Danio rerio: one gene and its partner. The protein of the gene in region 1 interacts with the protein of each later gene in a pairwise test. Links are inferred from orthologs where the notes say so. Each region holds a gene or a part of one and is shown in the gene's direction. Other genes may lie near its edges. The genes, in order: poc5 and cetn4.

What was found.
Region 2: the proteins of poc5 (region 1) and cetn4 interact in binary tests that used the Homo sapiens proteins (3 or more experiments, as listed by UniProt). The link is inferred for Danio rerio from reciprocal best matches to the Homo sapiens genes POC5 and CETN1.

The regions. Positions count from the first base shown.
Region 1 is NC_133180.1:46,918,842-46,923,453, reverse strand, and holds the start of poc5 (centrosomal protein POC5), read left to right. Parts: upstream 1-1,754; 5' UTR 1,755-1,856; intron 1,857-4,612. UniProt on the Homo sapiens protein: Essential for the assembly of the distal half of centrioles, required for centriole elongation. Acts as a negative regulator of centriole elongation.
Region 2 is NC_133189.1:1,595,687-1,598,644, reverse strand, and holds part of cetn4 (uncharacterized protein cetn4), read left to right. Parts: intron 1-1,569; coding exon of another isoform or gene 1,570-1,590; exon of another isoform or gene 1,591-1,593; coding exon 1,594-1,722; intron 1,723-2,418; coding exon 2,419-2,556; intron 2,557-2,958. UniProt on the Homo sapiens protein: Plays a fundamental role in microtubule-organizing center structure and function. Plays a role in sperm cilia formation.

The DNA.
Region 1 (4,612 bases):
CTGCTCTTTCATTCAGGCACAGCTATATGTTTGTATAGATATATGTTTGTATTGATAGATATGTATATCTATCTATCTATCTATCTATCTATCTATCTATCTATCTATCTATCTATCTATCTATCTATCATCTATCTATCTATCTATCTATCTATCTATCTATCTATCTATCTATCTATCTCTAATTCAATTATAGTTTCTTTTTTCAGTCACTTTGGTGCATTTCTCAAAACACTATTTACATTTGCACAACAGTAATGCATTTCTCAAAACAATAAGTATACAAACTGCAAAACTATAGCTGGTAACCTGCAAAAGTGTGTCACTTGCTCCAAATGGATAGCTCATTCCTTAAAAGCAAGTATTCATGTCAATAAAAGTGTCAATGTCATCAAGATGAAAAGTCCTGACACCATTGTTGATGAACAAGATAGTCAAATGGCTTTGTCATGTTTTTATTATGACAGTTTATTCTGTTAATTTTTTCCAATGCAAAAAAAAAAAAAAAAAAAAAAATTCAGATTTTGGTGACATCTCCTGAAAATGCTCAAGACAGCACTGTATACTATTTGCACAGCTATTTGAAAACTACAGTAAAGTTAGACAGCTCTGCATTTAGTGAGGTATCTACAAGACACTGAATATGTATGTTTCACTTTTTTTTTTTTTACTGCATTTGCTCTTTGCTATTTAAATGTATTCACAGAATTGTGCAAAAGAATCAATACACCCTTATTTTAGACTAATGAAATTAGGACAATTATTAGGCTATATGGAATTACTATTCAGCATTCACAAGTTTAGTTAATTTTGACTATATGACATAAGCAAATGATAATGTTATATAAAACAGCAGAGAGTTGTCTGAAAGTTTATGCATGTCCAACAGCATTTGCAAACAAACCCTGTTTGGCATTTGCATTTGTTGGAAGGAATGAGAAACTGTTACTATGATGTGCACAAATGACTGATTGCTTTGAGAAATGCATTAACTGTTGTGCAAATGTAAATAGCTTAGTTTTGTGAGAAATGCACCAAAGCGACTAAGAAAAACTAATCAAGTGAACACATTTGTGACTGATAACACATTTGTAATAATGGAGACTTAAAAATAAAAATTAGGTTTTCTATTTATCTATTTATTTGATATGTCTAAAACCTTTGCAGGTTTTGCAAAGGTTGTAAATGAAACATACATTTGCAAAAAATGTAAATGAAACATAGTAATGCACATAAAATGTCTCAAATAAAATAATAACCAAATAAATAAAAAAATAAAACTAAACATTATCCCAAATAAACAAGTCCAGAAACTTTTCTAGTTAATGTAATTGTATTGTTGCAAATTTTTATTCTTTATGTATATTTTTAGACTACATTTTACATATATCTTTAGATTATATTTTATGTTTAATTGTATTTATTGTAAAATTCTACTTTTTGTATTAATATTAGCAGACTTTGGCATCAAAAATGCTTTCAGTTTCACTAAGAAAAAAATGTAAATGTTCATTGGAACACATTTTTAAAATACTAATTCAGATTTTCATCAATCTTTATCTGACTGCATTTAGCGAAAATTATATATTATATTTTTTTGCCGTTGTGACCATTGGGAACACATGTCAACAAACAGTGAACAGTCGCTTCGCTTCCGCGTCTCTGTTACCACGGAAACGTTCTACCCAATCACAATGAACAAAATAGACGTGGAATATTCTCAACCAATCAAATCGACTTTTACTACAGCGGCTAGCATTTTGAAACTGCTTTTAACAGTAGTGTGTGTTCTTGCAGACTGGAACTATTCGCTGAGTTAATAGAATAACAAATACATTTGAACTGTCTCTGGAAAGGTAATGAACTTACACTTTTATCTCTGTTACCACGCAGTGGGTTTAGGCTAACTCACACTGCCTGCTAAGACGCTTCAGCAGGAACTTGGGTTGCACTTTTGCCTCTGGAGCTCGCTGCTTATATCGGCTTTATGCGTGACCACTGGGTCGTTCTTTGACTGTATAATATACCATATGGTCCATATAAGTAATGAACATTAGCAAAACAAAACATCAGTGAACCTTTGCCTTCCATAACGTTAAGTTCGATGAGAAATCACTGCTGCTCAAATAAACTGAAGTTAACTTCGTTAGAGTTCGTTAGATTTTATAGTTCTGTAAATATATAATTATTAGTAACATTAGTAACGTTACTCTGCATGAGGAAATGTTATCTAATTAGTCTGGTCAGTGTTTTAATTATGATTACATGGTTGAGTTAGATAGGGAACTGTTTTGAAGTAATGTTAGGTTAGACTGGAAGTAACGTTAGCTATGAATTCCTCATCTTAAGGCAAGACATTGGGTAAAAAAGATAATGGCTAACTAACTTAACTTAGTTATTCCCATACCTCCCCCGATGACTGGAACCTTTATTAATCAGGGATCACCACTGCGGAATGAACCGCCAACTTATCCAGCATATGTTTTAAACATTATATGCTTATGCCCGTCCAGCCGCAACCCAACACTGGGAAACACCCATACACTCTTGCATGCACACACATAAACTACATGTTTATGAACATGCAAACTCCACACAGAAATGCCAACTGATCCAACAGGGGCTCAAACCAGTAACCTTCTTGCTGTGAGGCGATCGTGTTCCCCACTGTGCCACAGTGCACCCCAAAGCTGTTTCGTGTGTTTTCCTAAATGTTGTGTTTAAGTTATGAAGCAAAGTTGGTTTTATGTTGCCAGCCACATTTGTTTGAACAGTGACACAGTCTCTATATTGTTTACCAAGCTACTTTAATTATTCAGTCTTTTTCGCTTTTGCCTTATAGCAATTTGATGTAAAGAATTATAATGTTGTGTATATTTATTTGACTTTCATTTTATATCAAGCCCTTGGACAGGTGTTGAGAGTTCGCAAGTTTACAAAAACATTTACAAATGCATTTGGTTTGTCCAGTGTAATTGTTATGCCCATGTCAAATAAACATTACATACGATAATATTAGTTATAAATAGAGTTTTGTGAAAAGTTTTATTGAGATGTGTTGGATCAATTGAATAGCTATACATACACAAAGGAAAATTGAGACCTGTTTAAAATGATTTAGGACCTACAAGACTAAATTTCAGTAAATTTAAGACTTTTTTTAAGGCCTAAAATTTAGTTTTTGAAATTTCAGACATTTTAAGACCATGCAGACACCCTGATATAGATTCTGTGTAAACACAGTAATTAAATACATCTCCTAGCTCCGAGTCAACTGTAGTTCAGACTCAACATTGCATATCTTGCAATGTGACTATTGCAAATGCGTACATTAAGATGCTGAAACGATGTTTTGTGCAGCCCCAGTGATCATGTAAAACCAACTTTACCTCAATTGTTTAAATATGTTAACCAGCCATTGTATGATTAGCCATGTGCTTTCAGTTCTAGCACAAAATAAATAAATAAAAATCTGGACAATGAATGAATGAATTCATGCTCCGAATGATTCTTTATTTGTTTATTTTTTAATCTACTTGTCTTAAAAGCTTTAACAAAGGGGATTCTGGATATATATATTTTAATCACTTCATAGTTCAGAAAACATTAATACTACAAAACCTTGAGCAAACTTTTTTTGTAAAACAAATAGTATATAATCAAGCAAATTATGTATAAACGTGTCCTACCATATAAACCTCCTGTCCTGAATATAGAATAAAACTGTAAAGTCTGGTGTATATTTTTCAGCGTGAAGTGCAAAATTTTTAGCCATCTTAGGAAATTTGTCTTTTTTTTTTTCAAGGAATAAATCCTGTTTACATTTTTTTTTACATTTTTTAAAAAGCACATTAGCTTAAAAATTATTATATTTCTAAAAACAATTTTTTTTTGTCTTTGCCATGATGAAATATTTAATATTTCACCTGGTACTTAATACGTAGCCAATTTTCTAAAGGTGCTATTAAAATTTACTTTAGCAGTTTTTATTTATTTTTTTATTTTTGACCAATTTGCGGAGGTGGTTGGGGGGTTGTGCAGTTTAATTCACAGAATTTCTACAAAGTTGTATACTGTAAACTCGCTGACTTTTCATTCACATCCATAACGCATGTTTATTTTTCTTATTCAAACTAAAACAAATGTTTACAGATTGATATTTTTGATCCCATAACTCTGTGGTTAGTTGTTTTGGAAAATATAACCAGATATTTCATATTGTTAACTTATGTTTTGAGTTTTTATTGCAAATGTCACATCCAATTGCTCATTTATTATTATTTAATATCAGCCAAACTAAAAGAAATAAGACATTCTGCAGATGGTAAATAAGAAATGCTGTGAAAAATGTCTTTGCTCTTTTAAACATCATTGAGGAAATTCGTAAAAAAAAAATATATATATATACAAATTTCACTGATGGGCTAATAATTTTGTCTTCAACTGTACAGTATGTAAGTGCTAATGAGGTGGATATTTTTAGTGAGGTGCAGAAGAGAAAAATCTTTTTAAGAAAACAGCCTGAAATGTATTATTGTTGGAATCTATAGACACACACTGATGAAGTGCAAAAAAATAAACGCTTAAATGTGTTTTTTGGGTATTTTCTTTT
Region 2 (2,958 bases), on another chromosome or scaffold:
ATCTTTAAATTTATGCTTTAAATTTAACATTTTGCAATAAATAAATATAATATGTTGGGGAAAATAATTAACTAATTTATTAGACCGTTATGCACTGTCATTTATTTCATAATAATGGAATTATGATTTGTTTTTCATCCAAAATGTCCAGTATTTAAAAATGTCTCTACATGTATAGTTTTATAAAGAGATTTTTACTCTTTCATAATTGACATTTTATCCTGAAATGTCATTTTAATATTAAATAATACATTAAATAATGAGCATCAGAATTTTTCCAGCTTATTAATTACTATGACTTAAATACTATTACTAAATACTATGACACATTTTCTGAAATCTTATGGTTATTTTGAACATTAAACAATTAAAAGAAAAACACATTCTTTCAAAATATCGCCTCAGTGATCATGAACTAGAAATAGAAAAGGGCAGACATAAAAAATCCTGGACCCCTAAAAAACAGAGAATATGTAAACAGTGTGACACAAACCAAATAGAGGTTGAGACACACTTCCTTCTGTTCTGCCCTAAATACACCACGACTAGAGAAATATTTTCCCCCAATTTGAAACATTGACTTATTCATTTTTCAATTTAAATGATTCAGAAAAAACTTTACCATGTACTCGGAGAGGATGAATTGACATCTAGACTAGCTGCAAAATATGTATACATACACACCATAAGAAATGGTTAATGTAAATTCATTTATCTTATTTAAATAATTTAAACTTATTATTATTATTATTGTTGTTGTTGTTGTTGTTGTTGTTGTTGTTATATTTATCAAAGTTTTTTGTCATTATTTCTTATCTACTGTATTATTATTATTTTTTTGATGGTTTTAATATATTACATATTTAAAGTGCTTTGGCAATACTGTACTGATTCTTATGCCAATAAAGCAACTTGAACTTGAAAATGGGGTAGAAATATGTAATTAAATATGCACTAATTTGCATACATTTACAGAACAGAAAACTGAAGATTGGAAATGGGCAAATTCAATACTCTTATTTATTTATTTATTTTTCAACATATTAAATGTTTATCACTTCATTAACCTGAATATACAGTCAACAGAGATAAACACACACACACACACAACATGTTTTTCAGTAAAACATTGTAGGGCTGCACAATATTTAGTTTCAGCATTGATATGATCTGGAATGTAAACATTGACATGATTTATATTTAATTACTGAAGGTCTGTACCTCAATATTATCAGACTCCACCAAAAACCATAAAGCGCTGCTTGGTTCATTTTTATCTTTGTTCTGTTGTTTTCATCTGTGCTTTAAAATAGTTTCTGCACCTACAAAATCATCCAAATCCATGTGCAATTATGAAATTCTTTACAGATAGAATTTTAAAGTCATCTTGAGAAATTATATTATCACTTTATATTGCAGAAAAACAAAAAAAAATCGCAATGTGAGTTTTTTCAAATATCGTGCAGCCCTAAAATTTTGAATAAATTAAGTCAGATTATTTTTTGATTCTTAAGTGAAAGATGAGCACAAAAACACCTCCTGGTTCCCATTGTTACACTGCATACTAACCCAGTGTCTGACTGTTGTCATCAGGTTGCGATGCGAGCTCTGGGGTTTGAGCCGAAGAAAGAAGAGATAAAGAAGATGATCGCTGATATTGATAAAGAAGGATCGGGCGTAATCGGCTTCAGCGATTTCCTTTCTATGATGACACAGAAAATGGTGAGCAAACCAAACAATAACAGAACAATCTACAGTAAATCTGACCGCTGGAGCGCACCGCAGGCTCTGCAGAGAACGACGCCAATGAGTCTTCACTGTATGATGTGATGTGAACCACTGGACTGACAGAGTCCAGCTTCAATCTAAATTATGAGTGAAATTTGAATTCTTTTTCTAATATTTCCCAAGTGATGTTGACAGAGCATTTTTCACAGTATTTCATATGTAAAATTGAAAATGTAAAATCTGCTGAGGTCAATAATAAAATCCTTTTTTCTGATTGGCTATATTAAATTTCATAGCATTTAAGACCGGCAAAAATAAGCTTTAAATATAATATTCATTCATTCATTTTCCTTCGGCTTAATTCCTTATTTATCAGGGGTCACCACAGCAGAATGAACTGCCAACTATTCCTGCATATGTTTTACGCTGCGGATTGCCTTACAGCTGCAACCCAATACTGGGAAACACCCATACACTCATACACCACAGCCAATTTAGTTAATCAATTCCCCTATAGCGCAAGTGTTTGGACTGTGGGGGAAACCGGAGCACCCGGAGGAAACTCACACCAACACAGAGAGAACATGCAAACTCTACACAGAATTGCAAACTGACCCAGCCGGGACTCGAACCAGCATAGATTTTGGTCATACTTCTGCTCTAAACGTTGTCATTTGTGTGTGTCAACAGAGTGAGAAAGACTCAAAAGAAGAGATCCTGAAGGCTTTCCGGCTGTTTGACGATGACTGCACTGGGAAAATCTCCTTCAAGAACCTGAAGCGAGTGGCTAAAGAGCTCGGAGAGAACCTGACGGATGAGGAGCTGCAGGTGAGTTTTGAATACAGTAGAAGTACACATCGACTGTGAGTGACGTCACTTCCCAATACAAACACGCCCAATGAAATATCCCCTCCCCTGTCGTGTGATTGACAGGTTTGAGTGTTGGCATGGGAAATTCAAATGCAAAAGGATTTGCGATTCCATTAGAGTTTCGTCATGTTACATGCACGACGTGGAGAAAATGAAGCAATTATTGTTGGCCCATAGACACATGGGAAATGCATTTGCAAATGGACTTTGCTTTTTCATTTGGAATGTGGCAGTCACTGCACGTAACGAAAGCGGAAATGCAAACGCTAATGCGGGATTTGCAATTGCATTTGGATTATGACACAATTTATGCAGACACATATGAAAAATGCAATTGCAAATCCTATTTGAAAATTTACA